3 linked regions of the Diceros bicornis minor genome follow. The protein of the gene in region 1 purifies or fractionates together with the protein of each later gene. This does not show direct contact. Links are inferred from orthologs where the notes say so. Each region holds a gene or a part of one and is shown in the gene's direction. Other genes may lie near its edges.

Evidence for each region. Proteins that work in one complex are often made in the same cells at the same time.
Region 2: the proteins of GSK3A (region 1) and PRUNE1 purify together in Homo sapiens (affinity purification with mass spectrometry; 3 studies listed by BioGRID and IntAct, with this or other methods). This does not show direct contact. The link is inferred for Diceros bicornis minor from reciprocal best matches to the Homo sapiens genes GSK3A and PRUNE1.
Region 3: the proteins of GSK3A (region 1) and AXIN2 purify together in Homo sapiens (affinity purification with mass spectrometry; 3 studies listed by BioGRID and IntAct, with this or other methods). This does not show direct contact. The link is inferred for Diceros bicornis minor from reciprocal best matches to the Homo sapiens genes GSK3A and AXIN2.

What each region holds. Positions count from the first base shown.
Region 1 is NC_080773.1:17,020,785-17,031,309, forward strand, and holds the start of GSK3A (glycogen synthase kinase-3 alpha), read left to right. Parts: upstream 1-5,939; 5' UTR 5,940-6,024; coding exon 6,025-6,307; intron 6,308-8,034; coding exon 8,035-8,222; intron 8,223-9,628; coding exon 9,629-9,712; intron 9,713-9,878; coding exon 9,879-9,989; intron 9,990-10,525. Other genes in the region: ETS domain-containing transcription factor ERF, read left to right, coding at 1-658. UniProt on the Homo sapiens protein: Constitutively active protein kinase that acts as a negative regulator in the hormonal control of glucose homeostasis, Wnt signaling and regulation of transcription factors and microtubules, by phosphorylating and inactivating glycogen synthase (GYS1 or GYS2), CTNNB1/beta-catenin, APC and AXIN1.
Region 2 is NC_080743.1:55,339,513-55,349,209, forward strand, and holds the start of PRUNE1 (exopolyphosphatase PRUNE1), read left to right. Parts: upstream 1-5,168; 5' UTR 5,169-5,268; coding exon of another isoform or gene 5,269-5,307; intron 5,308-5,313; exon of another isoform or gene 5,314-5,391; intron 5,392-9,697. Other genes in the region: MINDY1 (ubiquitin carboxyl-terminal hydrolase MINDY-1), read right to left, coding at 1-448. UniProt on the Homo sapiens protein: Phosphodiesterase (PDE) that has higher activity toward cAMP than cGMP, as substrate. Plays a role in cell proliferation, migration and differentiation, and acts as a negative regulator of NME1. Plays a role in the regulation of neurogenesis.
Region 3 is NC_080757.1:49,432,498-49,442,592, forward strand, and holds the start of AXIN2 (axin-2), read left to right. Parts: upstream 1-5,566; 5' UTR 5,567-5,662; intron 5,663-6,050; exon of another isoform or gene 6,051-6,320; intron 6,321-6,565; exon of another isoform or gene 6,566-6,635; intron 6,636-6,820; exon of another isoform or gene 6,821-7,176; intron 7,177-7,612; exon of another isoform or gene 7,613-7,628; intron 7,629-8,389; 5' UTR 8,390-8,505; coding exon 8,506-9,320; intron 9,321-10,095. UniProt on the Homo sapiens protein: Inhibitor of the Wnt signaling pathway. Down-regulates beta-catenin. Probably facilitate the phosphorylation of beta-catenin and APC by GSK3B.

The sequences.
Region 1 (10,525 bases):
GGTGGTGCCCCAGCCCCAGCGCCCTGACAAGTGCCCACTGCCACCCATGGCACCTGAGACCCCACCAGTTCCCTCTTCGGCCTCGTCCTCCTCTTCCTCCTCTTCCTCCCCATTCAAGTTTAAGCTCCAGCCGCCCCCGCTGGGACGTCGGCAGCGGGCAGCTGGGGAGAAGGCTCCGGCAGGCGCTGACAAGAGTGCTGGCATTGGCATGGGCGGTGGTGGCAGCGCAGGTGGGCTGCCTGAAGGGGCGGGGGCGCTGGCCCCACCACCACCCCCGCCACAGATCAAGGTGGAGCCTATCTCGGAAGGCGAGTCGGAGGAGGTAGAGGTGACTGACATCAGTGATGAGGATGAGGAAGACGGGGAGGTGTTCAAGACGCCTCGTGCCCCACCTGCACCCCCCAAGCCTGAGCCCGGCGAGGCACCGGGGGCAGCCCAGTGCATGCCCCTCAAGCTGCGCTTTAAAAGGCGCTGGAGTGAAGACTGTCGCCTGGAGGGGGGTGGGGGCCCCGCTGGGGGCCTTGAGGATGAGGGCGAGGACAAGAAGGTGCGTGGGGAGGGGCCTGGGGAGGCCGGGGGACCCCTCACCCCGAGACGGGTGAGCTCCGACCTCCAGCACGCTACAGCCCAGCTCTCTCTCGAGCATCGAGATTCCTGAGGGCTGTGGGCAGGGGACCCCTGTTCCCCCAACCCCCATGCTTCTTTTGCTGCCTTAACCCCCCCATGCCCCGGAGGTGAGGGCAGCTTTCTAGTCTCTTTCCTGCCTCCTCCCTTTCCCCTCTCCACATTTTGTATAAAACTTTTAATTTTTTTTTTTTAATGGTGAGGGTGGGTGGGTGCCTAGGGCTGGGAGCTGTCCCCTGTCTCTCGGGTTTCTAAGCTCCGGGCAAAGTGGTGGTGGGGGGAGGGAGGGGGGAGTTAAGGGGGCCACCTCCATTCTGGGGAATTTATATTTGAACTGAGGCTCGGGCCTCAATGCCCAGGAACTTTTTTATTACAATCGCTTAGGAAGTAAAGCCTTGTTTCCCTCCCTGTTCTCTGCCTCCTGTACCTCTCCCTCTCCACCCATGGCTATCCTCAGCCCCCATTCTGCCTTCCCTGCCCCTCCAGGGGCCACGAGTGCCTGGGTTTCTCATACCCCACAGGGTTGCAGCAGAGGAGGGAGGGACATTTTATGATGAACCAAAAATTCCGTGTCGGGGATGGGGGGGTGGGGGGCGGAAGAGGGTGAGGGGTGCCACCCATAGGCCACAAATCTCTACAAGTGCCTGCTGTCCCTCTCCCGCTGCCCACCCCAGCACCAGTCCAACCCTTTCACCCCCAGCTGCTCCTAGGACTAGCCCATAGGCAGGGGGGTAGGGGGGGTGGGAAAGGGGTGCCCTGAAACCAAACTGGAAGCCCCCTCTGCCTCCCACCTGGGGCCCCTGGGGTGGGGGTCTGTTGTCAAGCCTTATTCTGTATTAGGGATGGAGGGTGGGGGGGAGGGAAGTTGGGGGCTGCTGGAGAATGTATTCAAAACAATAAAACTTTGGACCTTTGGATGCAGTGATCTGTCCTGGGTCCTGGGTGCTGGGTGCAGCTGCCACAAGGCCACAGCTTTCGCATGATTCTGAAGGACGGGCCCCAAATGGCCCCCCGTGGATCTATGGCCAGACAGCCTAACTGCCTCGGAATGAGGCAAATTCAGGCTTGGGAAATGCTCTCCCAACCTCGGGGGCACATAGCCTAGCCCCCATGGGCCTGATGAGTAAGGTCCCAGGCACACTCGTCCTCTCTGACTGCTCCCCTATTCCATGGGGATCTGCGCGTCCTTGGAAGCACTTTAGGCTCGTCACCACCACACCACTGTCCTTGCTCTTCTGATTGCCTGCAATACCTTTCCTCTCGCTCTGAGTTCCTACCCAGGACCCCAGACTCTGCTAAAGGCCTGAAACTCCTTTTGGACCACCCCTAGTAGCGTGCCACACATCATTTTTAGGGCGCTTCTGAGTTCATTTGGGACTCCTTTGGCGACAGGCCTGCACTGTCTCTTGAAATGTAGACTTTGCAAGGTCTTCCTATGGAACCATGGGAACACCCTCTGCCAGCAAGTTGGGAAGGGCCTAGCTTAATCCTGGTTGCTATTGATTGAGCTACTGTGAGCCAAGTACCTAGTACCTAGTTAGGAGCTGCAGTGCTTTATCTCCAACATCCAGCAAGGTAGGGGCAAGTGCCTCAGTGAAATGACTTGCCCAAGGCCCTAAGCCCAGCCAGGATGGGCTTAAATGAGGTCTGTCTCTGAAGCCCGTGTTCTTTCAACAACCCCTAAAAGCCGGGATGGTTGGATGTAGACCAGGGTCTCAAGATCATAGGATCTGAGTGGTGAGCTCATAAAGCTAGAAGCCCAGGTTGGAGAGTTCGAGTCAGGGATGAGAGAGTCAGAAGGAGGAATCCAGGCATGAAGTGCCCTTACAGACAGCTCAACCCTTTCAGTGCAGGTGAGGAGCCTGAGGCCCAGAGAGGGGAAGGAGTTGCCCCAAGGTCACACAGCTGCTAAGAGAGTGGGAATTGAGGGCTCAGGGCCTGTTGAACAGGCTGCACATGAAACCCCACCCTGTGCAACTCTGAGGGGAAAGAAACTGGCAACTCTTATCCACTCGATTCATCTTCACTTCATGCCAGCCCAGGGTGGGTGGTCCCAGATGATGTCTGTTGGCAGTGAAGAGAGGATCCAGGGCTGGGGTACTGGCAGGAAACCTAAGCTCCAGAGGCGGCCTGTGGGCAACTGCTCCCTCTCCTGGGTGATGTAAGGCACTCCCTGGGGTGGGGGCCACTGGGCTATTTCTGGAAGTTGGGATGAGGCATGTTTCTTGGCAACATAGATGCAGCTGAGTTGGTGGCGGTGTGATGGAGAAAGGGGGATGTCATCACTGTGGGGAGGGGGAGGACCCTGACTAGTCTCAGCCTCTGATGCCAGTGCCTTCAAAGCACCTCTAACCAGGTCTAATATGGACTCAAAAAGTGCTCAGCTCCAGAACTGCTCTCCAGGTCAGACCACAGCCCACCCAGACTTGCTGCCCCAAATTCTGGCTGAGTGGGATGTCACTGGTGCCATCTGGTCTTGAAAACACCAGCGGCTCCTCTAATCTTTAATGACGCACTTAAATCTATTCACAGTTCCTGTAAGACCACACCCTTGCTCCCTTCCACATCCTCCGGGATCTCTGAGTCCAAGTAGAAAGCCCTTCGTAGATCTCACACGACTTCACCAACTAATTCATCCCATCAGAGACCCCCTTCAAACCTATAACCCCCAGCACCCTCACACACCCCCAAACCTCCTTCCTGATGCTACTCAACCATCCCTCACCCCTTCAGGTCCCTCAGAGATCCCCTCAGTCACCAGTAGTTTCTGAGTGTCCCATAGACCTTTTAAAGACACCCTAAGTCCCCTGACTTCTCTACTGGTCCCCAGTAAGATCCCTTCACCTCTCCACGGACTCCCCTGAGCACCTTCAGATACCCATAGGCCCCTCAGAGACACTTAGAACCCACCCTAGCACTCCTCCACAAACGTTCTCAGCCCCTACAAACATCCTGGTAAGATCCCCTGAGACGGTCGCCCTCAGACTCCCACGGATCCCAATCCCTTCGCGGCGGTTGCCCACGCGTGGCCCATTGCGCATGTCCCACGGGTTCTGGCCGTTAAGTAACGGCCAGTTAAGTAACGCTGCGCTGCCTGCCCTTGTGGGCCTTCTTGGTCCGGTGTACGATTCCCCAGGCTTTGGAGCTTCTCTCAGATTTTTGCTTTTCGACTCCGAGCTGCCATCAGAGGGCAGCAGGCACCGGTTGGCTGAGAAACTACAATTCCCAGAAAGACTCGCTCCGGGCTGTGCGTGATGCAGCCACATTCATTGAGAAGGGAGCGGAAGTGTGTCCGCGCTTTGCCTTCTGGTTAATGTAGTCTGAAAAGGTTTTAGCGCTGCCTTCTGTCGCGTGTCTACGTCCGCTGGGAATTGCAGTCAGGAACAGAATGAGTGGAGACTTTCTTCAGGCTTCAGAAAGCCCAGACAGGGCGCCGCCCCAGTGGCATAGCGGTTAAGTGCGGCGGCTCCGCTTCAGCAGCCAGGCGTTCGCAGGTTCGGATCCCAGGCGGGCACACAGGAATGCTTGTCAAAACATGCTGTGGCGGCGTCCCATATAAAGTAGAGGAATATGGGCACAGATGTTAGCCCAGGGGGAATCTTTCTCAGCAAAAAGAGGAGGATTGGCATCAGATGTTAGCTCAGAGCTAATCTTCCTCACCAGAATAAACAACAAAAACAGCAGACAGTATGAACACAGGTTGAGATTAAAGTCTGGAGACTCCATTTCCCATCATTCCGCGAGGCGGGAGGGGCTGAGGGTGATTTTATTCCAGTTCCACGTACTTCCGGGACACACACACACACACACACACACACACACACACACACACACACACACACACACGAACTCTGTTTCCCAGCGTCCTTTGGGGCTACTGTCCTTCCGGATATTAATCGGTAAATGGGGCGACGTAATGCGTGCACAAAACCCGAGGCTACTCCTAGCCGCCGGCTTCCTTGTTTTGGTCCCTCCAGGATCCTGTAACTAGGAAGAGAGAGAACGCAAAAAACTGAATGGGGGTTCAAGACAAATTGTATTTTCATCTTTTTTAACGCTTGGCTCAGCCTCCTGGTACAACCCACATTGCTAGAAAAAACTAGACTGTATCCGAAGACTATAGTGTTCTGAGAAACCGCGGGAAACTGTTTCCCAAATCGTTTGCGGGGTGTTTTTCCTTTCCGATTTGGGGAAACTTGGAACTGGAAGGAGTGTTTGGACTTCATTTTCCAGCAGCCCCTGACTGATTTCGGCTCTTCCTTGGGACCTGGGGGCGGGGAAGAAGTGTTTGAAACACTCTTCAGTCTCCCCAGGGTACTGCCGTCTTTCACCTTTCGCTCACGCTCTCCCGAGGGTTCCCATTGGACTCCACTTCCCGGCAAGCCTCTGCAGTCTCGCCTCACAAAGGCTCAGGATCCGGTCTGGACTGTTCCCCAGCATGTTTCAAGCTCATGGTAGATCCCTCCCCTTCAGTCAAAGGGGAGGCTGCCTTGAACTCCATTTCCCAGAAGACAGAAGGGTTCTCCGTAGCAACGGCTCGGAAGTCGTGGTGTTGACTACATTTCCCAGCAGGGACTGCGGCCTAGCGTGCGAGGGAGGAGGAGCGCTGTACCTACTCCATTTCCTAGCCTATCTCTGGAACTGCAGTATCCCCTTGGGGGGTGGGGGGTGGGGGGTGGGGGGTGGGAGTGGGGGGGCTCAGGGATCACAGGGGACTCCATTTCCCGGCGTGCTTTGGGAGTCGCTTTACACCTGCAATGCGGTGAGGGCGTGGCGACGAATCCATTTCCCGGCTTGCCTCACAGCCCGATATCTGCGGGTCTACAGGCGCTGACTCAATTTCCCAGAGAGCACCTGGCGCCGGTCATGGCGCCGGTCAGCATACATAGCCAATAGACTAAGTAAGCGACCTGACTCCGTTTCCCGGCGTGCATCAGACCTACATAGCTCACTGATGGTGTGGCTCCGACTACGTTTCTGAGGCACACCTAAGGGCTCGTCGTTGCCGCAATGGAGTGAGTGTGCGACTCTGACTCTGCTTCCCAAAGTGCTTCGGGGTCCGCTATCGGCACAATCGGCCGACTTATTGCCCAGGACTCTATTTCCCGACGTGCAGCGCGACCCATCATCCCCGCGGTTTACTCTGAGGCCTTGGCGGACTCCATTTCCCAGCGTGCCTCGCGGCGCTCCGTGCGCGCCGAGGGCGGCGACCGCGGCGCGGAGGGCAGGCGGACTGCATCTCCCGGCGTGCCCCGCGGCGGGCGCTGGGCCGGAGCCGGAGCCCGAGCGGCGCGGCCTGGAAGAGGCCGGAGCCCGGGGGAGGCGGCGGCGGCGGCGGCAGCGGCGGCTGGGGCAGCCCGGGCAGCCCGAGCCCCGCGGCCTGGGCCTGCGCTCGGCGCCATGAGCGGCGGCGCGCCTTCGGGGGGCGGCCCTGGGGGCTCGGGCCGGGCGCGAACCAGCTCGTTCGCTGAGCCAGGCGGCGGAGGCGGCGGCGGCGGTGGCGGCCCCGGAGGCTCGGCCTCCGGCCCGGGCGGCAGCGGCGGCGGGAAGACGTCAGTCGGAGCCATGGGTGGGGGCGTGGGGGCCTCGAGCTCCGGAGGTGGCCCCAGCGGCAGCGGCGGAGGAGGCAGCGGCGGCCCCGGCGCGGGTACCAGCTTCCCGCCGCCAGGAGTGAAGCTGGGCCGTGAGTACTAGCGGCGCCCGTGAGGGGTGGAGGTTAGGGTTCCTGAAGCCCCTCAAACGTCGATTAGCTTCTTCCTTATGCCAAGATAGGAGCTCTGGGTCGCTGTGCCTCCCAAAACTGGGAGTTGAGCTCTCCGCCTCCCGGAGAAAGGGATTTGGGGGATTACCATCACTTGGAGTTTAGAATTAGAATTATTAACTCTAAAAGAAATAGGGATTACAGGTTTCTCTTCTTCCAGTACCAAGGTCTTGGGTCCTTGAGCCGTAAAAACAGGGATCTGACATTGCCATCCATTAGAGAACAGGATCAGGGGTCATCGTCGCTTGCAAATAGGGCTGAAGGATTATTGTTCCCAAAGAAAACAAGAATAAGATCACCACCACCACCACCCAAAAAGGGGGATCTGAATTTGCTTCCCTTTAGAGAAGGGGAATTTGGGGTTACTGTGTCCCCAAAGAGCAGGGCCAGGGCTTTCCAAACTTGCTACCCAGCTCGTCTTCCCTTTTAAAACACAAGCTTTAGTATCATTACCCGTCTATAATATGTACAACTGTATCCCCATTGGTGGAAATTAATGGTTGCTGCTTCTTAGAGATAAGGACAGATTGGGAGTCAGCATACCCTTCAGACCAAGTTCATAGTCATTGTTCTTCAAAAAACTATGACTTGGTGGGTCTCCTTTCACAAAAATGGAATGGGGGTTGGGGAGGGTCATAGTTCTGCATAGAATATAAATCTGAGATTATATATCTCTTTCATTGTTCTGAGGTATGGTATCATTGGCTCTGGAAAAATAGCTATGTAGGATCATCTCCCTCCAAAAGAAGGTGTCACTGGCCCCTCAAAATGGATTTGATTCATCAGTGACCCCTTTTCTTTGGGGAACCTTTCATCAGTTCGCTGAAGAAAAGGGGTCACCATCCCCTGAGAATGCCACCAAAGTTCACTGCCATTTGGAAAATGGAATGGGGAATTCTAGCTTTCCTTCAAAGGACTGAGGCTGAGTTAGCTCCCTGATAATAGAGGTCAGGTTCACCATTCTCACAGTTGGCTTGCCCATTAGGGACCACCCATATACAGGAAAAGAGGTCTGGGGCTCTGGACCACACAGATGAGGAGGTCAGGTCAGTGCCTTTTCTAACCCCAAAGTATTTGGGTAAGGGTTAACTGACCCCAAAAAGTGAGTCAGGGCACTAGCACTCATAGCAGGAGGAGTCATTGATTTCTGTCACCAAAAACCAGTGGTGAAGTTACCAGCCCCACTGGGGAAGACTTAGAGGTCACTATCCCCAGAGCTGTGAGAAACATTAGTGCTTTCCCAAAGTAGAAGTACCTCAGGGTTTCCGCTCTCAAGTGGAAGAGGTTAGGTCAGGCTTTCCCCAGTCAGGAGGGGCCAGAGGGCAGTGAGCTGAGTAGATGGATTCAACATCTGGGAGAGTCAGTATCTCCTCAAACCAAGAGGGACCAGTGGTTTACTGCTTACTAAAAGTGGAAATTAGGGGTTACCAATCCTTGAACGGCAAGAGATTTAGGTGTCAGTATTCTCCCATATGGGAGGAGGCAGGATTCCCCTGAAGGGAAGAGGGGAAAGGGCACTGGTCCTCAAAAGCAAGGAAGGGACAAAGAGGCCCCCAGTAGAGATTCCCCTTCCTCTCACAGCCCCACGATGGGGTGGTGGCCAGAGGGGAAAAGTCAATGGATTGTGTGTCCCCTTTGTTGTTCCCCAGGTGACAGCGGGAAGGTGACCACAGTGGTAGCCACTCTAGGCCAAGGCCCAGAGCGGTCCCAGGAGGTGGCTTACACAGACATCAAAGTGATTGGCAATGGCTCATTTGGGGTCGTGTACCAGGCACGGCTGGCAGAGACCAGGGAACTGGTGGCTATCAAGAAGGTTCTCCAGGACAAGAGGTTCAAGGTAGCTTGCAGGGAATGGGGACAAGGAGGTTTGACTGGGCCTGACTGGTGAGAGAGCCCCAGTGAGAGTGCTGGACTTGGGGTTCCCTGGGGGATCTGAGCATGGGCCAGAGGGGAATGGAGAAAGCAGAGAGTGAGTTGTGTGGAAGATGGGATGTGGGTTCCAGGAGAGCCCAGAGTTGACAGTGTTGGTTCTTTTGCTCTGTGTAAGTGCTTTGTAGGCAGTTCTTGTTTAATTTATGTAAAGATTCTTTGAGGGCAGGTACTGTTGTTATTTCCATTCTAAGTAAGCAGAAACTGGAAACTGAGACTCAGATAAGAGAATTGCCCGAGGTCAAGACTAGAATCTGCCCTCTAATTCCCAAGCCCTCCATCTTAACCACTAAGCTACACTTCTGCCAAGAGGAGAAAGGAAGCTGGTGGGGTTGATGAGTATGTTTGCAAGGCTGAGCTCTGCCCCAGGGACTTGGCAAGTGCAAGGTGAGCCTGTCAGCGCTCACCAAACCATGTGCCTTGGTGTGGGGCTCTGTCCCCCTCAGGAAGGGGTGCCCTGTGAGCTAGTGGAGGCCCAGGGAACTAGGAGATGGAGGAGGTGGAAGTTGAGGGATAACTGGTGTTTGAAGGACTGGCATTTTGGAGCCCAGGTTAGTCTGGATGTAGGAGAACTGAGCCTAGGCTGGGAGGGAACCAGGTCAGGGCCTGGGTCTTGGCAGTGTGTACTCTCAGGGGCAGGAGGAGCTCCAGGTGTCAGTCAGAATTTGATTTGTGTAGAGTCCCAGAAGTGAGAGGGATCTGAGGGTGGGGAGTTCTGAGGCCCCGGAGGGGAACAGAGAATAGGGGAGAATGCTGAGACCGGGCCTTCTGGGAAGAGGCTGAGGCTAGATCCCTTCTCGGAAGATGAGAATTGGAAGCCTGGAGTCTGGGACTCAGAATCCAAGCCAGGGTTCAAGGGCTCAGATGCCTCCAGGGGAAGCAATAAGGAGGAGTGGGGACCAAGGTGAACTGGATGGCCACTACTTGTCTGTTGTTGCTGTGCCATGCGGGGAGGCGGGCCTCATGTGGCCACATTATCTGATTTTTCAAGAGAAGCTGGAAAACTGGATTTATACTTGATGTCGTTTGATTTTGAAATGTTAGCAATAAATCAAACATTTTTTAAAAGTGGGCTGAAGACAGCACATCTGTGGTCAAGATTTAGCCTATAGACCTCCAGCTTGTGTGTGAGGGGAATGGGTTGGGGGTGAGGAATTAGGGGCTCCCCCAGAGGGGCCTTGGAGCTGGGACCCAGGGAGTAGCTGCCTGGCTCTGTTGGCAGGAATGGGGGAGTAGGGCTGTGGTGAGAGGTGCTAGGGAGGGGAGGCAGAGAGAGTTGGTTGTTTTCTGAGGCTCTCTCCCTTTGCCCCCAAGAACCGAGAGCTGCAGATTATGCGTAAGCTGGACCACTGCAATATCGTGAGGCTGAGATACTTTTTCTACTCCAGTGGGGAGAAGGTGAGCCCTCCAGTATAGGGGAGTTCTCCACCTTGACTCCACCTGTTTCCTGTCTGCCTTTCTCATGATTGCCTGTCCTCCCCCTCATTATTCCCCACAAACCTTCCCTCCCCCATTTCTCACCTTTTTCTCACAGTGCCTCACACCTCTTCTTTGCTCTCTGCAGAAAGATGAGCTTTACCTAAATCTGGTGCTGGAATACGTGCCCGAGACGGTGTACCGGGTGGCTCGCCACTTCACCAAGGCCAAGTTGACCATCCCTATCATCTATGTCAAGGTGGGCAGGCAGGCAGGCTGCTGGGGCCCAAGCCCACAAAGCCAGCGGCACCCAACCCTCTTGCCTTCTGTGGGTTCCCTCATCTTCCAGGTTTACGTTGGTTTCTGGAGGCCTTGTGTTCCCTGCCATTGTCTCCATACCCCCGGAGATGGAGCTTGCCAAATGCAGGGTAGCCCAACCGGAAGCCTGACTGAATCGGGAAGATGGGCTGACCGGGGGCTAGGGAGGCTACAAGGTGCCTGCTCGATTCCACTGGGAGCCCAGTGGCACTAGTAGTGTTGGTGGGCTTAGCTCAGAATCTGGGTGGGGACCGAGAATACACAGGGGGAGATATTGACATCAGAGTCTTGGCCTTTGGAGCCTTGGCAGAGGGGGGTCGGAAGGAGGCAGGGTTGGAGGAAGGTTAGTGCCCACAGAACCAGAAAATCATGTACCTTCATCTATTGTCTGTGCAGGCTCATTCCCCAGTGCCTGGTGCTGTGCGCGGGGTGTTACTATCCCTCAGGAGGTGTATGAATGAATGAATGAATGAATGA
Region 2 (9,697 bases), on another chromosome or scaffold:
ACTGAAGAAAGAGGATGTTCATGATGGCAAGGAGAGGGCAGGGGCCGTTAGTGCTCTGGGTGATGATGGGTGTCTGTTCTCCCTTCCACGGGATCCACTTCACACAGTAGAAATCTAGCTCAGGCTGTCGGACCCTGGGGGACTGGGGAAGCTCCTGGGGTCTGGAGCATGCCCCCACTGTCTCTATCTCAGTCTGCGTCCCCTGGGCTGGCTCCAGTTGGCTTGAGCCAGCATCAGGTGGAGGGGACTCAAGGTTATCCTGGCCCTGGGCCAGCAGTGAGGCTTGGTCTTCTGGCTCCTGTTCTCTGGCCACCCCATCAGCATCTCTGGTATCCTTGTCCTGAGGGTGCTCATCGGGTTCTGACAGGACCTCGTGGTTTTCAGGGATGACTGCTTCTGCAGTCTTGGCCTTATTAGAGGCTGGATGCTCGGGTTGATGGTGTTCCATGGTCAAAAGGGGTCAACTGATGCGCATCAAAGGACTTTGTCCTCCAGGACTTGCCTAATCTAGGCTTGGTATGCCAAACAGAGACTAATCCAATAAGAAGGAGATCATTGGGCTGGAAAGCAAAATTGACCCAGAAAAGTCTCAGAAAAGGAACATAGTGTGGAAGGCTAGATAGTGTCTCATGTACAGTCACTCCTGGGTAGTAGAGCTTAGGTAAACAGAAGGGCCCCAGCCTGAGCTCTTTCACCTCTAACTTGCTGCGACCAGATGCGACCAACGAGGATACAGGGCTTTCAGGCTTGAGAGGGATGATTCCAGTGAGATTGAAGACATTGGGTGGAGTCAGCTTCCCTGAAACAGATAAAGACAAGGAATGGAGAAAAGACAGAGAGAAAGGAAGAGTAAAAGGAGAAAGACAGAAGGGAAAGAGATGGAGATGGAAACATTAAAACTACACTAATGGTTATTAATATGGTGATCTTTAGCTCACTTGGTAATAGGTATCATGTCAGTAACCCCCACACACCATGGCCAGGACGGGGGTGATTCCTCTGCCCTGCACCAAACCCCTCCCCTTGGCTGTTCAGGGAACATCCTGAGCACACGCAGGCTGCTTGTATCCGTAGGGCTACCATCTCTCTGCCTCATCCCAAGGCAGAAAAGATTAACCGCCACATAGTGCTTGGGGTGAAGAGTGGAAAGGCGGAGTCAGTATCCTGCCCCTAAAGACGAAACACTGGTGAGAAAGAAGTCTTTCTCTTCAAATGACTTTACACAATCCCAAACCACAGCAAATAGGTCTTGGGAGGGGTTTCCTGCAGGCTGGAGAAGGGAAATGTAGGCCATGGGGACTTGAATCAGAAACTAGTTCTGATAAGTAACCTCAGATTAGGGGCAGAAAAATCACTCCCCCCACAAATTCTTCCAGTAAGCTTTTCCTGATAGCTGAAGTTGAGATAGCAACTTCTCCTCAGTTCCTCTTTGCTCTAAAAACTGCCTAAATCCAGAGATACTCTCTTGCCCACTATTTATATGGAATATAAAAATGCTGATTATTGGGCCGGCCCCGTGGCTTAGCGGTTGAGTGCGCGTGCTCCACTACTGGCGGCCCGGGTTCGGATCCGGACGCGCACCCACGCACCGCTTCTCTGGCCATGCAGAGGCCGTGTCCCACATACAGCAACTAGAAAGGTGTGCAACTATGACATACAACTACCTACTGGGGCTTTGAGGAAAAAAAAAGGAGGATTGGCAATAGATGTTAGCTCAGAGCCAGTCTTCCTCAGCAAAAAGAGAGGAGGATTAGCATGGATGTTAGCTCAGGGCTGATCTTCCTCACACACACAAAAAAATGCTGATTATTGATCTACGTTAAAAATATTCCCTCTACATTCACGTTCTTTCTGTCTATTCCCATCTAGGTCGGTTTAGATGTGAACACTGGACCTGTTCAACCTGTTCTCTATCAGCACTAACCATCAAGTCCAGCAGAGGTAGACATTTAATAAATGCTGTGGATAGTAAACGATAAAAAGCCACAAACCCTGCCCTCTGGAAAACATCTCCCTTCAACGTCCTTGCTCCCCTCGCCCCCTTACTCAGGGTGAGGAAAGGGAGAAATTAAACTTGTTAGGAATCTCTTCTCTAGTTTCCTCCTAACCTGAGACTATGCTTCCTTCTCATAAACTGACAGGAATTTAGGGCTCAGGAAAGGCCTGGGAGATGAAGTTGAGGTACATGAAAGTTACTGAAATAAGCCTAGTCACCCAAACTGATCATTTGATCATCCTCCTGATTCAAATATAATTCATTCTAGCTGCATCTCATTTACATGTTGTTAATTTAGAATCAGAGTAGCAAAAATTGCCTGCAGGCCTTACACTTTTTTTTTTCTCTCTCTCTCTCTTTTTCCTCCCCTCCCAAATGACACTTAGGATGAGCGTCAGAAGCAGAAACCAGAGCCTGGGAAAGTTTACAAAGAAAAGCAGAGCTCATTTCTTACCTTTTCTGTCCAGTGCCAGAAATGATCAATAATTAAGGGGGGGTTGGGCAGCTAGCTGACTAGAGGGATGAGCCAAAAGAAACCAGGAGCTGGACACTGGAGGGAGCTGGGTCTCAGAGAAACTGGGCACAGCTAAGTGGGCTAAGTCTTAAGAGGAGGGGCAGGAAATGTAATGGAGGATTTCCACTCTGCAAAGTGCACTCCTGGTGGGGTGGGCATGGAGTAATTCAGAGCAGGAAAGGATGAGGGAGAGGGTACTAAACAAACCAGGATTTCATTCTTTTCCTCTTCTCTTCCCAAGTCCCACGTGTTCTCTCCAGCTGGAATTATCCTCTGGTGGCAAGGGAGTTAAAACAGCCCTGGCCCCTCCCTAGGCAGTGGCAGTAAACAGCCGAAAGTTGGAAGAAGGATATAAAATGGGTATGTAGCTTCAATAAGACACCTCCCCAAGAACTTTCCTCTCCCCTCAAGTCCCTTACTGCTCCACTCCAATCTCCTCAGTCTGACCCAAATCTTCATGCAGCTAATCCTTTAGATTTTCCCCTTGGAATCCACCACACAGGCACCACCACAGTGCCTGTCTACTTGCTCGTGAGAGGGGAAAGGTTTCATTAAAAGGAAAAAATGAAGGGACCACAAAGTATTCCTCTTACATATTCCTTCTGCCTTAGCTCCTCTCACAAACCAGACTCATAGAGACCAAAGGCAGAAGGACGGTCAGTGTCACCTCCCCAGAGATGGAGAGGAAAAAGAGAACTGGGGTAGGAGAGGAGGTGAGGAAATGGTTGAAACAAGTTTTTACCTTAAAGAAGTGGGTGCTGTTCCAGGACTGAGAAGGAGAGTTCAGCTCTGGCAATTCGATGGGGGAGGTGGGTACAATGAGGGGCGTCGCCACAGTCCCAGCTGTCTTCCAGCTGTCAACGCCAGAGCTTTCACAGGTTTATATGGGTTTACAAGCGGCAGTCCTGACTGGGTCGTAGCCACTTCCGGACTCACACCCACGCCCAACCGGGGACACTACCGGGGAGGCAGGGGCGCAGTCCAGGTGCACCCGAGCGGCTCAGAGCGTCTTCGGATTCCTAAGTCGCTGAGTGTAGGGTTTGCGCTCCAGGCCCTGACTGAAAGCTGGTTTTCAAAGGAAGTTTGTGGTTTTTCTTTTTTCTTCTTTCTCTCTCTCTTTTTTTCCCATCGGGACAAAGAAAAATTAGTCAAGGACAAGCTCCCTGGAGGAGGAGGGGCCTGCCCAGCACTGGAGGATTTCCATCGGGGCTTTCTGACCTGGTCAGCAGCTTGGTGATCAGCAGTGAGGGAGAGAGAAACAAGGAGAGAAAAACAACAGACCCTTTCTCTTCCCTCCGCCTGCCTGCCGCTGGAAGGGACGGAGCGCTTGTGCCTCTCTGGTGAGAATAGGGAAGAGCAAGTGCCCTTGCTGATCGGGGAGGAGCAGGGCTGGACAGCAGCAGCTTGCTGGACCTGGGCTTTCTCCCTAGGTATGGCAGTCCTTTGCTCTGGATCCAGAGAAGCAGGGCCGAAGAGAGTGATATTTGCATATTTACCCATTTAATGCAAAAAAAAAAAAAAATACTGCTCCTTTCCAAGTCCTCACTGTATCATTTTCTTAGTCTAGAAATGAAACTAGTTGGGCTGTGCTCCTGGTAGAGCAAAAGGTGTGGAAGAAGCCCCAGGCCCTAGGAAGAGAGCACAGCAGGGAGAGAACTAGCTGAGCAAGCAGGAGATCCAATACCCCTGTGCTCTGGTCCTTGTTTCCAGCAGCGGCCTCAGCTTCTCATCAGTCACCTCCTCTCAATTCCTAGCTTGGGGAGAAGGAAAAGCTGGTGTCAGGCTGGTGGTAGGAAATAAAAGGATGGAGTAATAAATCAGGGAACATTTGACGATGAGAGTACATGTATTTGCAGTCCTCTGCATACTGTGGGGCTGGAGGGTGGCAGTTAAAGGAGGTTGGAACCCAACTCTACATTCTGAAGGGCCCTCCAAACTCTACTTACAAGGCTGCCTGCCGCAGGACGAAACTTCAAGCAACTCTGAAGGCTGAGAGGGCAGTTGGAACAGTTACCGAGGCAGGGAGCAAAGAACCCAGGTTACAACAGTCCAGGCAAACAATGAGGAGACATTTGCTGAGGCTACAGAAAAAACAGGCTACAGAGTTATAAAAGAAAAAGCAGCAGGAGTTGGCAAGAGACTGTAGGTATTAAGTAAAAAAAAAGGGGTAAGAGATTATTCTAATGTTTTAATAATATGGACAATCACAAAATTGGTGGCAATGAGTCAGTTTGGTAGAGAGGAGAATTCGAGAAAGGAAGACGAAGAGCTTTTTTGCCACGTGTAATTTAAGATGTCAACTAGATGCTCCGTGTAATATATGGAAAGATGCTATACTCAGCCTGACCCGAGAGGAAAAGTTCTGATGCCACAAAGATAGGTTACTGTGACAGATACATTTGTGTGTCAAATGAATGATCTCAGAAAATTCTCCTTCCCTCAATTCTTGGTGACATTTCGGAGCTTCTGGACTACGTTTCCCAGGACGCCCTCCGCCACGCCCCTCTTCGCGCTTCGGAAAAGGCCTCCCGTGAGTCTCCGGGCGCAGCACTCCGCCTCCGCTGCTGGGGGCGGGGCGACGTCGCACTCCGGGAGCGCCCGATTACGCACTTCCTCCGGGGGTCAGGGCCGAATCGCTGTGTGGCAGGTTCGAGTCCCGCCTTCTGACTCTCGCCTCAAGCCCCGGAGAACGGGGCGGGGCGCATTCGCCGAGTAACCTCTCCACGGCGAGGGGCGGCGGCACACCTTGGGCTTCACCATGGAGGCCTACCTGCAGGGTTGTCGAGCTGCTCTGCAGGTAACGGATGCCTGTCTGTGATCGTAAGGATTGGAGCATGGGGTCCAGGAAGGACGAAGATGCGGGATCTGGGGAGCCCCGAGGGTCTGTGTGGAGGGAACACGGAATTGTGAGGAGGGGGCTTGGGATCTGAGCAGGCCTGAGTAGTGAGGAAGGAAAACCTGGCTCTTGAGAGTGGGAATGCTGCTCAGTCTCCCGGTTTTTGGCCCCCTGCCGTTGCGGTCTGCCCGAGAGCGGGCAGGAGGAATCGTGGGTCTGAGTCCTGCATCTGAGCCTCTGCTCGCTGTCGCCTGAGTTAGTTCCGTCAAAAGGCGACTGTGCCGCCGCCAGTCCTGCCCCGGGAGGTGTATTTATTCCTTTCTCCCCGCCCCTCTTTGAGTTCTCCACTCACAAGGCCTCCACGTGAACCCCAGGGGTGCGAGGAAACCTGTGCCCACGCCTTTATTGCTTCTGAACGGCTGTTTCTGTCTGGCTGGCCTAACTCATTCTCCTTACAGGTGGTCATGGTTTTACTTTAAATCTGTTTTTAAACTAAACATGCACAATACATCAGGCATATCTGTTGACCCACAACCTGGATTCCTTTGCCTCCAGCTTTCTTCCTTGGCCTGAAACGTGAAAATCCTCCACCTGGAAGGGATAAGCACGGTGTGTTTGGAATCAAAACTATAAGCATGACTCCTGAATGCTTTGTGGCTTATTTTGGGTGCTCTCTGAGCCAGCTGGAATCGCCCAGCCACGCTGACTGGTCATGCAGCATTAGGCTGCTATCCCCAGTTAGCAAAAGGCTGACCAGGTCACCTGGCCCCCCTGCCTCAAGTTTCACTGCTCCTATAGAAACCTAGACAGATGGTTGATTGTGCCTTAACTTTTTAAGTATCTTAAACTCTACAAATTCCCCTGGGCAATAGATTTGGGTCTTTACAAATCCTAAAAGTCACCTAACTCCTCCTGCAGACTCAGCTGCTGATGTAAATGAATGTCCTTACCTCAAGAATGGGGGTGAAGTTCGATTTTAACAACAATTACACCAAATGTTTCTTTGTGAAATACAAATTTGTGGAAAGTTGTTTTAATGCATTAATGCATAAAGCAATTTGGAACCAATTCATTTTGGTTACCTCTGATTTCACCACAGGGAGCTCATTGGAGGACTAATGTAGAGTCTTTGTGGCACCGTTCAAAGTGCTAAGCAGTTGGATTTTTTTTTTCCCCAGTAACCCAAATAACTCTCTTTTCCACCATTTGGTAAAGAACCCTTGGACCTGAAACCTCACCAAATAGCATTTCATTGCATGCTCCAGAGTCCCCCGGGGTTAACAGTATATCTTCTCCAGCAGTATGAAGCTGAAAAATACTGGATTTTTCCAGTATTGCTGGTATCCTGACCTTTCTCTACCTGCATTCTTCCCCCAAGGAGCAAGATCTAGATCTTCTTTTTTCCAAACTTGTGAACTTATGACGGTGAGGTTGTATCTTAGACCTCTCATCATCACACAGCCTAGCAAGGGCCAGAAGAAATGAGAAAATTGGACTCTAGGAATGTTAGTGGGTGAACTGGTGGCAGGACATACAGGCCAACTTTTAGGTTGCTTTTAATTATAGAAGTAGTAAATGTACATAGTGAAAAATTTTAAATACAGAAAGGATGCGAAATGAAAAAGAAAAAGATCCTTTTTCTTCTCCCCATCCAGTTCACCAGAGGCCACACTGTTGTTTCTTAGATAAAGAAAGACATGATTTAGACAGAGACACTATTAAATTTGAATGTTTCTGTTAAACTATAGTATAAATTTTAGGGAATTGTGAATGCTTGCCTTTTTCACAAGATGGAGACAGCTGATAACCCAGCCAACTCTCCTGTTGATACCATATTTTTAGCATTTGATACCAGAGAAATTTTCTACAGCCTCTGCCACAATGATAGTAGAATGTTCCATTTAAAAGAAATCCTGTTTAACTAAATGTCCTATTCATGGTGACTCATTTTTCACTTCTAGTATGGAAAAATCTTTGCTGCAGGGTGGGGCTGCATGCAAGTTTAGTGGTTCATCCAGAAGCCTTCGGATAATCTGTGTCGTCTGCACTTCTCAGGCATAAGGTGGAATCAGGAGTGGCTGGCTATCGTTAGGAATTTGCATCAGTGTCAGTCAGTCCCATTTTCTCTGCTGCAAAGCTTTCTCTATCTCTGGTTCCTCATCTCCTTTTATTTCTCCCTCATTAACTATTTTGTAGAGTAGGCATCAGACCATATTCAGTTTCAGAAGGGAAGTGGTTTACTTTGCCAGCCCAGAGCCCATCCTCTCTCCCCCCATTGAGGCCACAAAGAACATCAGGATATAGTCATTTCAACTAGTGTTTTTTTCTTTTTTTTTTTTAAGGAAAAAAAGTTAATATTTACTTGTGGCTCTCAGATTGTATTTCTTCCATTGGCAGCTCAGGTTTCCTCATGCTCTAAGTACAGTTATATTTGCCCTGTACCCTTCCTCTCATGGTCAGAAAACTGAGGCTATTTGGCTTGTGTTTTCAGCTGGTGGGGGATGGGGTGGGGGAGGTTAAGAGTTACACATGTTTTTCCTAAATGAAGAGGAGAATGGTGCCTTATAAGTTGGGCAGCCATACACCCAGTTTGCCCAGGGCAATCTTTGTTTATTCCGGCATAATAATTCATCACACCTCTTTTCATTCTCAAAAATGTCCCGGTTTGGGCCGGCCCCGTGGCTTAGCGGTTAAGTGCGCGCGCTCCGCTGCTGGCGGCCCGGGTTCGGATCCCGGGCGCGCACGGACGCACCGCTTCTCCGGCCATGCTGAGGCTGCGTCCCACATACAGCAACTAGAGGGATGTGCAGCAATGACATACAACTATCTACTGGGGCTTTGGGGGAAAAAAATAAATAAATAAAATTATTAAAAAAAAAAATGTCCCGGTTTGAACAACAAAGTATATTGTCACCTAACTCATAAGCTATGTTAAGGATCTGGGATACTTGCCCATGAAAAGACAGCGAGCTCCTTAAGGCTCAGTTCCATATGAGAGCCACAAGTGCTGGAAGCTATAGGTTTTAGAGGAAGAGGATTGCTCTGGCCTGTGTGGTCAGGGAAGGCTTCACAGAGAGAGGGGGCTTGAAGTGGGGCTTGCCTGGTCGGGGAGGGGGAGAGAAGGGAGAAGATGGAAGGGAGCTCATCTTTACTTCCTACAGAATAGGCACTTATGTGCTGTCTCATTTGATCCTCACAACAACTTCATGAAATTGGTTACAGTATTATCCTCATTTTTATATCACGAAAATGAGGCGTAGAGAGGCAGAAGTCCCACAAGTAAGAAGCAGAGCTGGGATTCAACTCCAGGCTGTGGTCTTTCCAAATGGCAGTTCTGCTGCTTTCAGACAGAGAAGAACAAATAGTGCAAAGGGCAGAGCTGGAAATGTGCACAGCATGTTTTGCGGGTGGTGAATAGACCAGTCAGGCTGGCATGATGGTGGGAAAGGAATGCCACCACCTCCCTTGGTCACTCCTGTTCCAAGATTTGCTAAAAGTCCGAGTATTCCTTTGGTATTCGTTCCTTTTGGTTGCTTTCTGGGCTTGGCTGAGTGCAAGGGGTTAGTTATTCACCTTCCTCTGGAGGTCATTTCTCCTGACCTCAGAGCCATGAAGTTGTATTTGGTCCCTGCCTTTTGCTTTTCTGCTTAGCCTTCTCTCAATGCTGGGGATCTGACTGATCCTGATTCAGCTGCCACTTGGAACAAAGTGGCACTAATGTGAGTTTTAGAAAGGTTCTCTGAGGGCCTCTTTGTGCCCAGCAACAGGTCTCTCCCGCTTGCTCTGCCTTTTCTCTGTTACTCTTACCTTTTTTCTCCAAAGTCAGGGCCATATTGCCTGTCATGTTTATATAGTTCCCTCTCTAGACAACATAGTGCCCGCCTTTACTGCTTCAGTGAGCAAGTTATCTGTGCAGCCACTTATCTCAAGTGCTTTGTTGTCACTTTGGTCCACAGCCATCTGGGCAGTTCTTGGTATCCAGGAAACAGAGGGGCCTTCTCTGGTATCAGGAAGAAGAATTGTAAATCAGAGAAGTTACTGTGGGACTGGGGTCTTGGGTACAGAATTCTCGTATTGTGTTGGAAATGAATTTAATATTGAAAAGAATCTCCCCTTTCCCATGCTGTTCAGTGTGGATGGGTGTTGGCTGCCACACCTTTGAAGTAAACTTAGAGAAATGGGCATGGGGAGAACCTAAGGACAAACTTTCCCCATGGGCCCTTTGCCCAAAACCTTGACAGATAACCTCTGCCTTTTGTACTTCTCTCTAGGAGTGGGAGTAAGAGATGGGGAAGAGGGTGGTTCAAAAACAAAAACCTATCTAGTAACTAGATAGGGTAATTTATACCAC
Region 3 (10,095 bases), on another chromosome or scaffold:
GCTGGTTTCAATGAGGGACAAAATAGGCTCCATTTTAAGAGTGTTAAATTTGAGAGGCTTGTGGCTGGCCTATCCAAAGAGGGAGTGATGAAGGAAGGTACTGAAATAGGCCAGGCCTGTAGGTCTGAGAGGCCCTGATTTCTACAGAGTGGAGCTTATAACAATGGGTGGGAACAGGAGATTGTCCAGAAAACATTTTAGGGGGAAGGACCCCAGAGAAAGAGCAACCTGTGGGGGAGTCGGGAGGAGGAAAAGGTGTCCTGAAGAGCAGCAGGAGAGGGAGGTGGTCCTTGTTAGAAAGTCCTGTCAGATAAGTGAGAGGGGCTTGAGAAGGAGAGAGGGCTGCAGATAAGCCAGGCCACTAACAGGTCAAAATGGGCCCTCGTGACTTAACAATTAGGGTGTCTTTTACCTGGCTGAAGATGGTGTTTGAGGAGGAGCAGTTATCATGGGTTGAGGAGACAATGAGAGGGGAGGAAAGTGTAGACAGCAAGTGTAGACTCCTCTTGAAAGAAGTTTGCCAGCTATCTTCTACTACCTGAGTGCCCTGAAGCCAATGAGGCAAGGGACGAGGACATAGCTGCAGCATTGGCAGGTTACATAATAACGCACGTTGAGGACTTGATGTAGGGAAGGTTCTTCAACGGGGAGCAAAGGCCAGAATCTCTCCAGGTGTTCTGGGGCAGGCTGTGACCCTGCCAAGTATCCTGGCCCACTGTGCAAGTCTTTTAGAGCCCAGGAAACTACTCAGTCAGCTTCTGGAAACGCCCAGGGCAGATCAAGAAACACTGACGTGCGAGAGTAAAGGAACTGATTTCAAACTTGGTGAAACTTTAGTTTCCAGAAGTTGTTTTAAATGAGCAGGATGAAACATCAGGGGCAGAAAAACTGTCTGTGGAGAGAGCCTATTTATTAGCAAAGTTTCACATGTTGCCAGTTGGATGACTGACTTTAGGGATTCTTTTTTCTATCTATTTTTCACATCCTTTTCTGAAAACAACCTTTTATGTGTCTGTCTGCTTGACACTATGGAGAAGATAACTTTAAAAATCAGAACCTCTTTCTGGATGTGCTTTAATATTGATGGTCTCTTCTGGTTACAAGCTCAGTCCAGCTCCTAAAAGCCAAACTCCAAGACAATGATGAATGGTGAGATGCTGAACACCCAGCAGTTTGTAGCTCCATTTAAAATAAATATTAAAAGCACTTGAAAGTAAACCAGATTAGGAAGTTTTAAATTATTGTTTCACTTAACTGTGTTTTAAATTTAACATACCAAAGATGATAATTTTATTAACAAATATGTTTCCCTAACACTCCTATGAATAGGATTTCTCAGGAAAACCTTACTTTTTTGCTTGTGGCTTTGAAATCTCCACCTTCACAGTCTCAGGCCCCCCTCTGCAGAGGGCAGAAGTAGGGAGAGAGAGTGGCAGGAAGTTAAGTCCGCCTTTTCCTTCTCTCCTCCTCTCAGGCTCTGTTCAAGTCAATTCTCCCTCAGGTGGACCAACCCCACTGATGTGCCCATGGAAACGTCTGCCACCATAAAAGATTTGGTAGAACCACCCAGAATCCGGCTGAGAGTAGCCCTGTTCTGGGGGTCAAGTCTGTACATAAGTAGGGGCTGAATGAAGTTGAGCTTCAGGGGAATTTCAGGCTGAAGCCCTGTGGTGATTCTTTTAGGAAAGCATCCGAAATCACATTTATCAGCCCTGCGGGGAAGCCAGCCCTGCCCTGGGTGTCCTTACCACGGTATGGAAGAAAAGAGGGTGAGCCCGGAGTCAGGACCCCTAGGAGGTTCTAGCTCAGCTCTGACATGGGCAAAGTGGTCTTGGGAAAATCTCTTCACCTCCTCTTTCCTTAATTTTCTTCATTTCTTAAATGATGGGTTGGATTAGATGATACTTGAAGGGTGCCCTGGCTAGAAAATTCTGATATTTCTTTTGGGGGACTGGATAGGACTGCCTTTGAGAGATGGCAGAAAGGCACAGGCCACTTTGCTTTCCAATCCTTGCTCCTCTCTGCAGGGAAGTCGGCCGAGGTTGGCGGGGCGGGGAACGGACGGACTGGCTCACCTCTGCAGGGCCTCCTTGGTCCACTTCCAGGTCCCCACCCCCAGGCTCCTAATTGAAGGGGCATCTTTGCTTTGGAGTTGGGGAGTTTATTCCCAGAACAGGGAACAGATGTTGAGGGAACAGGGTGACTCTGCAGAAATAGCCACCATGTTTTGAGCACCTACTGTGTGTCAAGCATCGTGCTGGGCATTTACCTTATTGCTTATCCTCACAACAGCCTTTCGAGGGGTGTTTCCTCCACTCTGCAGGTGAACACACGGGGACTCAGAGTGGTTAAGTGACCTGCAGTCTCAGGAAAAGTTACCTGTGTCTGTCTCTACTTCCCTCCCTAAACAAAGGTACACTGTCCAAGGTGGTACTTTTTCAAAGAAATAAAAGACAAAGTCACTGAATCTTAGAGAGCAATGTCCTGAGTCTGAGCTCCTCTGCAGTCACAGCTGGTGTGACTTCCCCTCCAGAGGGATTTTGTGGGGCTGACTAAAGGTCGGAGATCTGGCCAGATGCCTCTCAGGGAGCCCTGAATCCTCATTTTCTGGGATTCTAGGATTTCAGCCTCATACATAATTCCAGAAAAGAATTACTCTCTGCTTTATTAAACTTGTCTGCACTTAGGCCAAGTGGGCTGTTTATCCTCTGTAGGGTTTTTCTTTAAAGGAGCGGGGAGAGTGAGCATGTGCAGAAATCCATCACCTTGCTTTCCAGTTTCCAGGCAACCGTGCGGGATTACAACCAGTCACATGATATCACTGCTGCCAGGGAGAAGGGGAAAATGGAAAACTGTGCTATCTTGAGAAAGCGTATAAGCAAAGGACTTTGGATTCTCCTCCAGAAATATTATCAACAAGTAGTCCAAGACCTAGAGGCTCTAGGGCCCCTGGCTTCTCAGCACTTGGCCCAGCTTTCTGTGGGATGGGAAATGTACCCCCAGATACGAAGTGGGGGGAGGGGAGTAGGGGTGAGATGAAGGGGAAGTCATTGGCCCAAGGTGAACTAGCACCTGTTCTGGAAACCAGGCTCTCAGAGGGGTTGTTACTGAGAGGATCCAAACCCAGCTAGGCTGTGCTCCTACATCCCCATCCCCAGTCCCTCCTTCCTGCTGCTGTGGCCCTGGGATAATGAGGGAGCAGGAGAGTCCTTTGCTTAAAGCGGAGCCCATGATGATTAGGGCCGGCTGGGGGGCAGTGAAGGGTCAGCTGGGATGGGGGGAAAACCACCCATGAAGACCAAGTTTCCACTTCCTTTTTTAAAGGCTCCTCTTTCTGATCATTGTTTATTTTGATTTGGGATGTTTTGATTTTTCTATCTCCCCTCCCCCACATTGTGTGTGTGTGTGTGTGTGTGTGTGTGTGTGTATATGTGTGTGCTTGCGCACGCACATACACACGCGCGCTGCTGTTGTTTATATTGTAGACGCTTCTATGGCAATTCATTCCCCTCTGTATACACTTTTGTTCCTGTAATAACACCCTCTGTGGCCTAAAGACTCCCCAGAACCACAGGGACAGCTTTGCTCCTGGCTCTCCTGGGGTCGCCGGAGGGGGTGGGCGTGCCCTTGGCCATGGATCCCACATACCAGCATTCCGGAAGGCAAGGCTGTTAGAGGAGCCGACCTGAAGTGGACTGGCTTCCAGTTTCCTCACACCCAGCAGTTGTCCCAAGGCAAAGATGAGTCATCCAGCCACACTCTTTCACTGGCCTTCCTAGCGTGCCCTGAGGTGGCTGTATTTCATAGCCTGGACTGCTGGCTTTATGCCAGCCTGGCCGCCTGGGGAGGTGAGCCCAGAGGGGCAGACCATGGACACAAAGAGGCAGGTATTGGGGAGGGCAATGCCACCCGCCTTGGCACCCAGGAGCTGAAAAGTCTGGCAGCCTGGGCTGCAAGGACTCTAGTCACTCGTCACAGCCCCGTAGGCTGGGGGCCATAGTGCAGGGTCCTTGCTGCCTGCCCTTTTCCTGCAGATCATGGGTGGTGTATCTTCCTCCTTTTTTTCTTATGGAATCCCAAACAGACAGATATGTTTCTTGCATGTTTCAAAGTTCTGACGCCCTCATGACAGGTTAGAGGCACCTCTGCCTTGAAGAGGGTTTGTCATCCTTTAAGCTCAACAAGAAAGTAAACAAAGGAAAAGGGAGTTGAGTTGGAGGGCCTCGCACAGCTCCAATAATGCTGGGCTCTCCCGTTCCCTTCTTGAACGAATCTGGCTTATACCTTTATGTTTTTTAAGAGGAGGAAAAGTTAATTATTAGCTTATCATATGAGGCATCATTTTATAGCAATAGATGAGTAAATAAATAATGTTGTAGGTTTATGGCATATTTTCTCGTTAAGTGAGAAGGTTATGCCTCATAACATTGTTGGGGGAATGTGGGGAGGAGTTTTCAATACATTAAAAATGAGGGTGAGGGGAAAAAAGACATTCCGTGTCTGTTTAATATGTAACATATGGGAGGATGGGGGATGCTTGCGAGAGAGTGTTGGGTATGCAGTTGTTAGAGAAAGATGGTCCATGTGTGCAAGGAGGGTTCTGACGGCCAGGTTGGGAAGTCGGGGTTAAATCTTCAGGGAATTGAGGGATGCTTCTTATTTTTTTTTATATTATTTATTTATTTATTTTATTCCCCCAAAGCCCCAGTAGATAGTTGTATGTCATAGCTGCACATCCTTCTAGTTGCTGTATGTGGGACACGGCCTCAGCATGGCCGGAGAAGCAGTGCGTAGGTGCCTGCCCAGGATTGGAACCCAGGCCGCCAGAAGCAGAGCTGCGCACTTCACCGCTAAGCCAGGGGCCCGCCTGAGGGATGCTTCTTAACGAGGTGTCAGAGCCCATCTCCAGCACTCAGGCCTGTGCTGGCAGATTCACACGCCCATCTTCACACTTCAACCACAGACAGTGGTTCTAACCCACACTCAGAGACACGCACGCACATGCCTTCTGCATCCAGGCCCGCGTTCACCCTATGACACTTGGTCAGTCGATCTCAGGACCAGAACTCCGTTTAAAAGATCCTCCAAGCCCAAATTCCCAGGGAAACTTGAAGAGAGGTAGAAAAGTGTTTGATGACAGAAAAAAAAAAAAAATTCTGCTTGCTTGCAGTTCTTGCGATGGCCAGAATGCTACAATAAACTGTTGCTTTCCAGAGCTGGGGAGGGCGAGGGCAGGCAGCGGGAGGAAGTCAGAGCAGAGACCGGAGAACCTGAAACACGGAATCAGAACTCAGGCTGAGAGAGCCTCTGGGGCCGCGGGGGCCAGGCAGGGGGCGGAGGAGGGCCGGGGAAGGGTTAACGCGGGAGCCGAGCGTGCGGCGGGGGCGGGCCGGGCGGGCCCGGGAGGGCGCGGGGCGCTGTCCCTTTAAGGCGGGCGGCGCGGGCCAGCCGAGCGTGGCTGTGATTGGCGCGGCGGGATCACTGGCTCCCCAAGCCCGGCCCGGGGGAGTCGGCTGGAGCCGGCAGCGCTTTGATAAGGTCCTGGCAACTCAGTAACAACCCGAGAGCCGGGGAATAAAAATAACCCCTCGTAGCAATGGATCTCGGGGCCGCCCGGCGTCCGAGGCGCCCGTCTCCCCCGCCGAAAGCCCTGCTGTAAAAGGTGGGGGTGGAGGCGCGGCCTCAGCAGAGCTGCTTCAAAGAGAGCCCCCCTTGGACCAGGGGCGAGGTCGCGCCGAGTCGCGTCGCGGGCGCCGGGGGCGAGAGGGGTCCGGCCCGGCCAAGACTGGGCCAGGAGGGGCGGTGCGAGCCGGAGGGCCCCGAGGAGGGGCCGCGGGGGCACGGGGGGCGGCCCGGGGCGCGGCTGGTGCGTACCTCCCTTTCAGGACCGTGCGCTCGGCTCGCGCCTTTGAAGTGCACAGTTAAATCCACAGCGCAGTTTTTGTTGGAAGCGCCCGGAGGACATTTGGTGCGCGGAGTGACTGCTGGAAACAGGACCTGTGTTGAAAGCCGGGCCGGGCGGGGGCCGGAGGGGCCGGGGGCGGCCGCGGCGGGGGTGGAGGCCCACTCGGATCTTTTGCATAAAAGGGGCGGCGGGGAGCGCCGTTTCCCCCTCCCTGGCCGGTGGATCTCGCTGTAATCCCGGGATTGTTGTTTCCCCGCACCCCCTCCCCTGCCGCGCGACTCCCCATGTTCCCCGACGCCGGGACCGGCCCAGGGGGGCCCGGGGCTGCCGCTGCGAGCCTATCCGGGGGCCGGGGCCAGGGCCCTGCCCGGGGCGCCTGCGAGGTCTCGCTGCGGAGCGCGCGCGCGGATCAATGGTGAGTGCCGAGGCCGCGGCGGCCGGGCGGCCCGCGCGCTTTGATGTGCCGGGCAGCCCTTTGAAGTTGGCAGGCCGGCTATTTCGGGGCGCGCTCCGGGAGGGCGCGGAGGGGAGCGGCGGGCCCGGCGCCCAGCGCTCCGGGGTGCTTGGCCGGGCAGCTCTGCGCGTCCGGCGCTCGAGCCCCCTCCTCTGGGGGTGGCGGGGGGCCCCGGCGGAGAGACTTCTGCAAGTGGCGGCTGCGGCGGGGGCGGAGAGGGGCCAGATCCCCCCCGGGGCGCGCATCGCTGTCGTTGTTATGGATGAGAGTCGGGGTGTGAGTGTGCGCGGGAGTGCTTTTGGAAGGTGGGATGAAAGGGTGGCGGCGCCCCCCGCTGGCCCTCCCCTCCGCCCCCTCCCCTCCACCCCATCCTCCCCTCCTGCCTCTCTCACCCCCCCTCCCCTCCCAGCTACTGGTGCGCGCTTAGGGGCCCCGAGCGCTGGCCGAGGCTCAGTCTGAGCGCAGGAGCGGCCCGAGCCCGGGGCGCCCGCGTCCCCCGCGTCCCTCCTCCCCGCCCGGGCCTCGCGCCCCCGGCCCCTTTTGCGGAGAGGCAGAGACTCCGCGCGTCGCCATTTCTGGACTAGGCTGCTGCTTTCCGTGCTTTTCTGTGGGCGCCTCTGCGAGCGGAGGCGCCGGGGACCGACCCGCGCCCGGGCTCGGGGTGCCGCGAGCGCCTCCCGGAGCTCCGGCCCCGCGCCTGGCGGCCCGCTCGCCGGGGCTCTGGACGCGTTCGGTTGGATTTGGGCCGGGGGGTGGGGCGGGCCGGGGGGGCGCGGCGGAGATGAGAGCCCGGCCTCGCGCCGCCTTCGTCTTCCAGGTAACGGGGCCGCCCCACCTCCCCTCCGCCCGGGTAACGCGGCGCTACCGGCGGCCCCGCCACTCCGCCTGCTGAGTTGCCCAGCCTAGCGCCCTGAGGCCCCAGGCGGGGACCGCGCGCACCCACCCCAGGCCCGGGGTCCCGGTCCCTCGTTCGGGGTCGCGCCCCATCCCCCCGGCCCGCCCCTGCCCTCCTTAGTTTGATCCTTCCCGTGCTGAGGAAAGCGGCTTGTTTATTGGTTAGATAAGACTTTTTGCTTTTGGAAAAAAGAGACAGGCTTGAGATCAGTAGAGTCTGGGATTCTTGGCACAGGCAGTGGTAGCGTGAGACGGTTTCTGATCCGGTTTTGTAGGGTTCGCGGCTCCGGGAGGTGGCGGGCGGGGGGACGGAGGCGGCGGGTCCTGAGGCTTCTCTGCTCTCTTGCAAAGTTGGAAGATCAAAGTCTCGTCTTAGTAAGTTGGTTTCTGGTTTGAGGGAGCGGGGAAGACAGAAGTGTAGACTGAGTCGGATTCTTGGTGGGAGGCGGGGGCGCAGCGAACGTGTACATCTGGGTTGGGGAGGGGGGGCGTTTTCCTGCTGGGAGTCCGCGAGCCCATTCAGCCCTGTGCTGGGCGGGCTTCTTTCTCGGTCGAGGATCTTCTGAATTTTGAAGGAGTGGGAAGGGGGGGGTGCAAAGGGAAGGGGTGGGGTGGGGGGAATGGGAACCAGATGCCGAGGAAGGGCACGTTTGGAGCTCGAGTTATCTGTGCGGAGAGCCGAGTAGGGAAATGTACCGAAATTGGTTTCACCTGCACACAGCCCAGCGGCTGGAGTGCGCGTCTTTGGAGTTGATGCTGTCGGGGGAAGGGAGAGGAGGGGTGTGGAGTGGGGAGGGGCGGGCGGGACTACCCTGCGTGCGCCGGGGCCGAGGGGGTTTTGGGGAGGTTATGTCTTACACCTCCCATGCCCATCCGTTCCCGCCTCCCACCCTCGGGGCTCCCCTCTCACCTTTCCCGCCCCCACCCCCGTGTGTGTAGGGAGCTCAGATTTCGCCTTTGAAAACGCGGCGTCTGATACTTTAGATGAGCACCTCGCAGATAGCTGGGTTGCTTGATTTGAATTTGAGGAGTTGAAAAGCCTGTTTACTTTCTTGCTTTGATGTTGGGTAGATCTGGTTTTGATTAGATCAATACCCTTTTCTCTCTTCCTACCTCCCCCTTCCTTTTCTTTGCAGAAAGGAGGCTCAGATGAGCCCCTGCTGACTTGAGAGAGAAAGAGAGACCACGCTGATTGCTGAGAGGAACTGGAAGAAGAAAAAAAATTCCCAAACTCAGTGAGAACTCCCTCACCATGAGTAGCGCTGTGTTGGTGACTCGCCTCCCAGACCCCAGCAGCAGCTTCCGCGAGGATGCGCCCCGACCCCCGGTTCCCGGGGAAGAAGGGGAGACCCCACCGTGCCAGGCCGGGGTGGGAAAGGGCCAGGTCCCCAAACCCATGCCTGTCTCCTCCAACGCCAGGCGGAACGAGGATGGGTTGGGGGAGCCCGAGGGACGGGCATCTCCAGATTCCCCTCTGACCAGGTGGACCAAGTCGCTGCACTCCTTGTTGGGCGATCAAGATGGTGCTTATCTCTTCCGGACTTTCCTGGAGAGGGAGAAATGTGTGGATACCCTAGACTTTTGGTTTGCCTGCAATGGATTCAGGCAGATGAACCTGAAGGATACCAAAACTTTACGAGTAGCCAAAGCAATCTACAAAAGGTACATCGAGAACAACAGCATTGTCTCCAAGCAGCTGAAACCTGCCACCAAGACCTACATAAGAGATGGCATCAAGAAGCAGCAGATCGATTCCATCATGTTTGACCAGGCACAGACCGAGATCCAGTTGGTGATGGAGGAAAATGCCTACCAGATGTTTTTGACTTCTGATATATACCTCGAATATGTGAGGAGTGGGGGAGAAAACACAGCTTACATGAGTAACGGGGGACTGGGGAGCCTAAAGGTCGTGTGTGGCTATCTCCCCACCTTGAATGAAGAAGAGGAGTGGACTTGTGCCGACTTCAAGTGCAAACTTGCACCCACTGTTGTTGGCTTGTCCAGCAAAACTCTGAGGGCTACAGCGAATGTGAGGTCCACAGAAACTGCTGAAAATGGATACAGGTAAGACTTGCCCGGGCAGGGGGTGGGCCTGGGGGTGGGGTGGGGGTGTTGGAGGATGATACGGACTTTGCAGATGTTTTGAGTTAAGGAGGGTGGATGGTTGGATGGATGTGCTGCTGAGGCTGACAAAGGACTCTTGAGAGCTAGGACCACTGGCCATGAACTCTTTGATCTTGCTTTTTGTTCTTTAAAGGGGGGGGAAGTGATGCACACGCAGCTAAATACCTGCAGTCTTCCAGTGCTCACTTCAAACAGTGGCAAGCAGTATTCATTAGTGCGGGTTACTTATTATCCTAGGCCAGTCTTAGAAGGGGTAGAGAGAGAGAGAGAGGGGACAGCAGCTTTTGATGCCTCTGAGTCACCAAATACACTAAGCACCAGTTTTGGAAGGGGTCATTCACCACTCATCAGTAGAGAGTGGAATTAATGTGGCTGGGGAGGCAGCTGGGTTGTGGTGGAGGCACAGGAAATAACGTGTGCACCCATTGGACGTGGGGGTAAGTGGGATCTTTTGAACTTATGTTAAGATAAGAGCCAGCAATTGGCTTAACAACTGAACTTGTGGGTCTCTTTGTAGAATTAGGTATTTACCCAGCAAGAAACTCACCTAACTAGGGAAGGCTTGGTGACTTTCCCTAAGGAAGGACCTCTAGCTTTAGTCTGCTGGTATATTAATCTAGGTTTGAAATGCTTGCAGTCTGAGGGTCAGATCTTGGTTGATTATTTTGTGGCTTAGCGCTAATGGAGAAGATGTCTTGGCCAGAAAGGACTGGGG